Nothobranchius furzeri: one gene and its partner. The protein of the gene in region 1 purifies or fractionates together with the protein of each later gene. This does not show direct contact. Links are inferred from orthologs where the notes say so. Each region holds a gene or a part of one and is shown on either strand. Other genes may lie near its edges. The genes, in order: lats1 and sav1.

What was found.
Region 2: the proteins of lats1 (region 1) and sav1 purify together in Homo sapiens (affinity purification with western blotting; 3 studies listed by BioGRID). This does not show direct contact. The link is inferred for Nothobranchius furzeri from reciprocal best matches to the Homo sapiens genes LATS1 and SAV1.

Annotation. Positions count from the first base shown.
Region 1 is NC_091742.1:11,406,688-11,411,163, reverse strand, and holds the end of lats1 (serine/threonine-protein kinase LATS1), read left to right. Parts: coding exon 1-1,207; intron 1,208-1,691; coding exon 1,692-2,274; intron 2,275-2,683; coding exon 2,684-2,866; intron 2,867-3,063; coding exon 3,064-3,170; intron 3,171-3,246; coding exon 3,247-3,741; 3' UTR 3,742-3,891; downstream 3,892-4,476. UniProt on the Homo sapiens protein: Negative regulator of YAP1 in the Hippo signaling pathway that plays a pivotal role in organ size control and tumor suppression by restricting proliferation and promoting apoptosis.
Region 2 is NC_091758.1:19,774,473-19,778,305, reverse strand, and holds the end of sav1 (protein salvador homolog 1), read left to right. Parts: intron 1-1,650; coding exon 1,651-1,921; intron 1,922-2,007; coding exon 2,008-2,163; intron 2,164-2,289; coding exon 2,290-2,503; 3' UTR 2,504-3,078; downstream 3,079-3,833. UniProt on the Homo sapiens protein: Regulator of STK3/MST2 and STK4/MST1 in the Hippo signaling pathway which plays a pivotal role in organ size control and tumor suppression by restricting proliferation and promoting apoptosis.

The DNA of each region.
Region 1 (4,476 bases):
CATGGCAGATGGGATGGTGTACCGCCCCGACAGCCCCGGGCCACCTCCTGTCTACCCACCACTCCGCGGTGTCGCGGCTTCTAATTCTCCCTGGGACAACAACCCATCAACCAAGCGCTGGTCTGGGAATGTGGAGTACTTTGTTCCACGAATCTCTCCAGTTCCCCAAGGAGCTCGGCCTGATGGGTACCCAAATCCACCTCCTCAGAATCAACGCGGGGCCAACCCAGGGCCCGTAGTTCACCAGCCTATCATAATGCAAAGTTCAGGGAATAAATTCACTTCTCCTTCCACTCGGACTCAGAATGGCTCCGCTCAACAGGACTACATACCAGGGAGCAGTAGACAACCCCCTCCTCCATACCCAGTCAACCAGAGCAGCCGACACAGTCCCACCGAGCAGCCGGCATCCTCTCCTTCGTACGTCAACGGTGGAAACATCCCTCCTCCCATGCTGGTGTCTAACTGGAGCAACAGCAACCAGGACCTGTCCCCGTCATGGCAGCAGAACGTGCCAGTCCGCTCAAACTCATTTAACAACCACCAGCTCAACGGCAGACCTGCTCATCAAGCCAGCTCCCAGCCCTCTGCCACTACGGTCACGGCCATCACTCAGGCTCCCATCCTGCAGCCGGTGTCGAGCACGCAAGTCCAGAAACCAGAGCTACACACTGCCGTCGCTCCCACACATCCTCCATGGAAGCAGCACCTTTCAGCATCTCCAGCTGCGCCTGCTTACCCAGAACCTTCACCTCAGGTCCCTCAGATCCCCACAGCACTAGAGGCACCAAACTATATAGGCCCTCCTCCACCGTACCCTAAACACCTCCTACAGCAGCCGGCTGCACCCTCGCCCCCTGCGTACGACGCTGCAGCCAATAAGCTTGTTGCGGGTAGAGAGGAGAGTCCTGAGGAGGAGAGGAGCTGCAGCAGCGGCAGCAGTGGAGACGCCTCCAGGGAGAAGGTGTCAGAAAGTCTTGAAAGCACCACGGCAGCGGAGAAGGAGAGGAAACAAATCACAACATCACCTGTTCCTGTTCGCCGTAACAACAAGAAAGATGAGGAGCGCAGAGGGGAGTCTGGGAGAGTCAATCTGTATTCCCCCCAAGCCTTCAAGTTCTTTATGGAGCAACACATGGAGAACATCCTGAAGAACCATCAGCAGAGGATTCGGAGGAGGAAGCAGCTGGAGTGTGAAATGGACAGGGTGAGACCATCTATGAAAAGAAACTGTCCTTTTCTCTTTTTGACCTGGTTTCCCCGTCTTATCTTGGTAAATCTCCGATCTTTTCCACACTTTTAAGTTTTTCTTAGCTGTTCTTTCTCTTCCTTTCTCTCCTTGCTGTCACAAGCAGCTGACCTAGGAGGTTAAAGTATCTTTTCCTGTGCTGTGACTCAGAAAAGCCCAAACACACATCAGTTACACAAGTAAGGTGTCAAGTGTCTCATATCTGTATTTTCTCCTGCATCGAGTGAAAGCATGAGAAGAGTGGCATGCCATCCCGCAGCCGCCTCCGTGCACTGCACGCACATTTTTGTTTTGGGGTAAATTGATCATTAACACTTCAGGAAAGATAGATTTCACTTCGTTTTGTGGTGGTGTCACTCGTTTCCATTCATTACTAACGTCTCATTTTAACATGGATTGCATGAAAGCTGCATTTATTTATTTTTATGGTCCCCATCCTCAGGTGGGTTTGTCGTACGAAGCCCAGAAGCAGATGCGTATGATGCTCTACCAGAAGGAGTCCAACTACATCCGTCAAATGCGCGCCAAAATGGATAAGTCCATGTTCAAGCGGATCAAAACCCTCGGCATCGGAGCATTCGGCGAGGTGTGCTTGGCGAGAAAAGAGGACACGGGGTCGCTGTACGCCATGAAGACGCTTCGCAAAAAGGACGTGCTGCTGAGGAACCAGGTGGCCCACGTCAAAGCCGAGCGGGACATCCTGGCCGAGGCCGACAACGAGTGGGTGGTGCGTCTCTACTACTCCTTCCAAGACAAGGAGAACTTGTATTTTGTCATGGAGTATATCCCCGGGGGGGACATGATGAGCCTCCTCATCCGGCTCGGCATCTTTAAAGAAGAGCTGGCCCAGTTCTACATCGCAGAGCTCACTTGTGCGGTGGAGAGTGTCCACAAGATGGGCTTCATCCACAGAGACATCAAGCCGGACAACATTCTGATAGACAGAGACGGACACATAAAGCTGACCGACTTTGGTCTGTGCACAGGCTTCCGCTGGACCCACGACTCCAAGTATTACCAGAGCGGTGGGTGCTAAAGCTCAGTGTCTTGTTAGGTGTTTTTCTGTCGCTACGTCAAGCTTTTAGAATGAAAACTGTAAAACAATGGTAATGTTAACATTTATCCTGTCAAATTCACATACAAACAGATGAAAAAAGATTTTACAATAGAAAATCTTCCTTTTTGTTTTCAGATATCTTGCCGTTTGTGTCTCTCAGGTCAGGTTGAGCCTAAAAAGTAGAAGCCGGGAGGCTGTTGACATGTTTTGGATTCGTGCAATTCAACATTTCTGTTTATCAATGTACAGCGCAATAATATAAATCCAAATTACATCAACAAAAGCACATTTTAAATCAGTATTGCATCATTTAGCAACAAGGAATTATCAAATAAAGATGTCTAAGTCTTAAATTATGTGTCTGTTTATCTCTGCAGGAGATCATGAGAGACAGGACAGCATGGACTTCAGTAAGGAGTGGGAGGATCAAGCTAACTGCCGCTGTTCAGAGCGTCTGAAGCCTCTGGAGAGGAGGAAGGCCCGGCAGCACCAGCGCTGTTTGGCCCACTCACTGGTGGGAACGCCCAACTACATCGCACCAGAAGTTCTGCTCCGAACAGGTAAAGTTTTCCTTTAAAAATGTTCAGTTATGTTATTTTTGCTTCAAATCTTTGCTCTAATAATCCACATCATGGTAAATAACAGCTTTATTCTGTTTTTCAAAATAAAAGCTGAGAAACTAAATATTGACATCTTGATGAAAAAGAAAATCAATTCCAAACGTCTTTTAGTGATGTCATTTCCTGTATAACTGTAGGATACACTCAGCTCTGTGATTGGTGGAGCGTTGGGGTCATCCTGTACGAGATGGTTGTTGGACAACCTCCCTTCTTGGCGAGCACACCCCTGGAGACGCAGCTGAAGGTATGAGAGGCACCTGCTGTGAAATGTTCTGCAGCCACGGAGTTCCTTAAAGCCGCGTCTCTTTCGTTGAAACCAGGTGATAAACTGGAAGAGCACGCTGCACATCCCCCCTCAAGCCAAGCTCACCCCAGAGGCGTCGGATCTCATCGTTAAACTCTGCCGCGACCCAGAGGATCGCCTTGGTAAGAACGGCGCAGATGAAATCAAAGCTCATCCATTCTTCAAAAGAATCGACTTCTCCAGCGACCTGAGACAGCAGGTGGCACCCTACGTCCCCACCATCGCTCATTCCACAGACACCTCCAACTTTGACCCAGTGGACCCTGAAAAGCTGCGGAGCAGCAATGGCGAGGGCAACCACAACGACACGCTGAGCTGTTGGTTCCGCAAAGGAAAGCACCCCGAGCACGCCTTCTACGAGTTTACCTTCCGGCGCTTCTTTGACGACAACGGCCACCCTTACAGCTGCCCCAAACCCATCGAGTACGAGGGCTATGACGAGGACGAGGCGGACATGGAGAGCGCGGAGCTCGAGGCCGGGAAACAAGGCCGGGATCTGGTCTACGTGTAGATCCTGAAACCCACTAAGCTGCTTGTACATAGAAAGTGTGTGTGTGTGTGTGTGTGTGTGTGTGTGTGTGTGTGTGTGTGTGTGTGTGTGTGTGTGTGTGTGTGTGTGTGTGTGTGTGTGTGTGTGTGTGTGCGTGCGTGAGAGTGAGAGTGAGAGAGAGAGGAGGGGTTTGCAATGATAAAGCATTTAAAACATAGGAGTGTGTGGTTATAGGAGCACTCAGAACGCTGCAGCACGAGATCACAGTTAAAAATGAAACACCTGATCTCCAACTATGAAACTGACCTGGAGTCAGTTATCTCTGCAGAGCATGAAGACTGAAATCTGCTGACTTGTGAAAGATGATTATAAGAAATGACGAGAGAAACCTGAAACGCACCAAATCTGGTTTTTTTTTTGGGGGGGGGGGGGGGGGTTAACATGTATAAGGAAATATCAAAGTGTCACATTTGAGAAGGTGGAACCACAGATTATGGATTTTCAGACTCTAATCAGGAAAACCGCTAGTAAATAAACATCTAATATTCCTGATTTCTCACTGGAAACCATGATTTTTCTCCATCTACCTGCTAGACAGATCTACTGAAAGGGATGATATGGCCGATTATAAACATGTTTCTGTGTAAAAGCTTCATGAACAGCCTCTGTTCAGACATAAGTTCACAGCTACTCCACAGAACCAAGCTTAAAGTGTAATACCGCCGTGAAACAATTCTAATTTCCTAAATTAATCTA
Region 2 (3,833 bases), on another chromosome or scaffold:
TTTGCAGCTCTGCCAGCTGAAGAATTGGGCTCAGCTCCCACCGCCCCCTGCCGCATAAACCTAGCTCGGGCTAGCTGTTAGCTCATTGGTTTTAATGACAAACATTTTATTTTCTCAAGCAGAAGCTGTTCATTAAAAGTTTGGTTCACTGAAAACCCATTCTTTAATGATCATTGCTGATTATAATGGGTCACTCTGAGTTTTTCATGCAGGCTTAACATAAGATAGTCTCCTACACCTATCTGTGCATTAGCTTCTGATAAAAAATAGATAGTGAAACTCTAGGATTTGAAAAGCTTGACAAATTTCTTGGCTCGCAGAAGCTAACCGCTAGCATTTGCATTGTTACAAAGCAAACCGAGTCAGCGGTAGAGTCTCGTTGCCGTTTGCCAATCAGGCGCACCAGAGCTTTTTTCCCCCCAGAGTAAAACTTCCAATGCATTCATTCCTACTAGAGACAGCTGCAGATGTACTGATTAAATGAGCGAACCACACCTATAAACTATCCAAATTTGCCAAAACATGTAAAATCATTTTTATTTATTTTTTGTTTTACGCAGTCGTGTCATGAGGAGTCTGTCCTGTGGGACATTTTTGTTTTAATAGATGTTTGTGCTATCAGAAATCTCTGCGTTTATCAGAGTAATAATAGTACATCATCGTCATCATGTGTTAGTGTGACCATCATCCTGTAAATGGGCGATGTCGTCATGGTTGCAGCCTGTCTGGATCAGGCATGCCCATGCAGGAATCTGAAAGGTGTGTGATTAGGAAGTGTGTCATGTTCAGTCTCTGAGCTTTGTGCTGTGTCACACGGGTAAAATGTGCTGCGGTTACTGTAGAGCAACACCAAATCACATGATAACATACTTGTCTGGAGGACTGGCTGGCTCATTTAATACCAGGTGTTACTTCCAGCTGGACTTTTAGATCTGCAGTGAGACGTGGATGATGATGGTGATGAAGTGAACGAGGAGGAGTGTGGAGCAAACACATTCCACCCTTCATTCAGCAGCTGGGAAACAGCTCCAGCTCTGCCTCTGTCACTCTCAGACAGAATTGATCAGATTCCAGCTGCCATTTTCCGAGATACTTGATTCCTTTAAATTCCTGCGCATTTTCAATCCTCCCTGAATCCCTGCAGGCTTGTTTTGTTTCAAGCCTCAATACTCTTTGCTCGTCCACACAGCTGTCGGCTCAACATTCCTGTCTGACGTTATTCATCAGTAAAAGTACGGGGCGCATTGAATGCGCATGCTTTGCTGTCGGCTGCTCTAAAGAGTTGGAAGCGCCTGGAAATGGAGAGCTCTCTGGCTTCCTGTTCAAACGTTCCAGCACTCCCATTTCCTTCCATTCATCGGACTTGTCAGTCAGAGAGACGCTCCATCTCAACAGTCGGAGTGATTAGGCGAGCCTGTCCAGATTCACAGCATGACATCAGTCGTCTTTTAAGGACTGCTTCTCTGCATCCCTGTCTTATCCGGTCCTATGTCCATATTCCTCTCCTTTCCCACACATGCTGGTTTCCAAGAATGTCTCAAAATATTCCTGTTTTCCTCAGAGGTGCTGTTAGTCCACAGCTGCTCCTCCGTATGTTTGGTCAGATATTCTCCCTCTGGGTTCCTTAAAAGAAGTGTTTGTTTTCCCCAGGCATAGGTCGGATTCAGGCCAAGTCTCTGGGGAATCTCTCCATTTTAACGGGAGAGGATGTCCCCCTTCCGGCCGGCTGGACTGTAGACTGGACCATTCGTGGCAGGAAGTACTACATCGACCACAACACCAACACCACACACTGGAGCCACCCTCTGGAGAGGGAAGGGCTCCCTCTAGGCTGGGAGAAGGTGGAATCTGCTGAGTTTGGGGTTTACTATGTGGATCATATCAACAAAAGGGCTCAGTATCGGCATCCGTGTGCCCCCAGGTACAGAACCAAAGTGAAAGTTTGGCTTAATTATGAACATCTTTGGAGAAACAAAGATCTACAAATACAACATCTTTGTATTTTAGCGTGCCTCGCTATGATCAGCCCCCACCACCTCCACTTCCTGTGACCTATCAGCCACGCCCAGCAGAGAGAATCCAGCCGGTGCTCGTGCCCGCTAACCCGTACCACACGGCCGAAATCCCCGACTGGCTGCAAGTTTACGCACGCGCGCCACTCAAGTGAGTACCGTGTGTCCCACACCTCAAGGGTCATCTTCGCTGCTGCCTGCTGCAGCAACCCCTGATTACCAGGTTAGGGGTGTTTTGTGTTGTGATGTACATCAGTTCCTGTTTTTTGTTGTCCAGGTACGACCACATCTTGAAGTGGGAGCTGTTCCAGCTGGCAGACTTGGACACGTACCAAGGGATGCTGAAGCTGCTCTTCATGAAGGAGCTCGAGCACATCGTCAAGTCCTACGAGGTCTACCGACAGGCGCTGCTGTCTGAGGTGGAGGCTCGCACACAGCGAAAGCAGTGGTACCTCCAGCAGCCTAACAAGAACTTCCAAGGGAACATGTGAAGCTACATCTTTAGCAGGTCGTCCCCCTGCCACACCTCACTGAGGTTTCCACAGTTTGGGAGCGGTTAGAGCTTCTTTTAAAATCAAAACTGACTCCTAATTGCTTCCTTACCAAACACATCTGTGCCTTTGCTTGATCCAAATATATCAGCCAAGAAGTCAGAACGACTCATTGACTAAAGGGAGGGCTGTCCCCCGGTGCCACGCTCACGTTATGGACAACCGAGACAGCACTAGGATGAAGACACAACGTGCTACGTCTGTGGACGCTGCTTGGGTGGGATCTAAACCCACCAAACTGACAAATGAACTTTTCATTTCCTGTTATTAAGACTGAGAAGCACCAAGTCTGGAAATCCTGCTCAGGATATTTGTTGAAAAACATCCCGAGATTGTGCCTTAAATTAATCGTACAAAGTCTGCTCGTGTCGCGCGTACACCACCAGCTACTCCGTCTTTTTCTCCTTCGGGACGAATCGACAGGCAGCTTCTTATTTAAATACAATATTTTTGCTTTGTAACCCTCATAAACTGAAACCATACTCTTTTACATAAAAATAAACATTTGCATTGTTCTCTTGTGATATTCCTTATCGTTATTTAACAATCCTCCAGTCTAAATGATACTTAAAGTTAGATGAGCATCACACTTACTGCAGCACATCTATGCTTCAGAATATTTAGTGCATTTCATTTTCTATGGGTCTTTCTTAGTTTACATGTTCATAAACACATTTAGTGATCAGCCCGCTTCAGCTCAGAAAACCAAATCAGGCTAAAGTAAAGCAGTTTACTGGGATCTGTGCAGCTTTAAACATCTTCAGAGGACGTTTGGTTGCTGAACGAGTTTGTGTTGAACCAGTAAATCCTCTTGAGTTTTGAGCTTTCTGTGCAAAAAAGTTTCAACTTTTCAGAATCAAATCATTTCGGTTGCGAAACGAAAGTTGTTAAGGAAAAAGCTGTAAATTATATTTAAACCTGCACACGTCTTTTTTTTTTCTTTTTTGTCACTTAAATGTTTCAGATCAGTAAACAAAAAGCGTTGTCAGACAAAAACCTGGATAATTAAGAAATAACTTTAGTAGATGCTGTCGTGACAACATGAAGGCTAACGGATCTCAAAACGTAACCCAAGAAATTGAAGTTAACCAAGAACAACATCTAAAGCCCTGCGGGCCTCCCTTGGGATAATAGGAAGGAGCTAGTCTAGAAGATTCTCTCTAAAGAGCCAGGCCTTCAGTAGTTCCTGACAGACATGAATGTCCAGTCCTGGTACCGCTTAGGTCATTCCACCACCAGGAACAACTCAGGAAAATAGTCTGGATGGTCT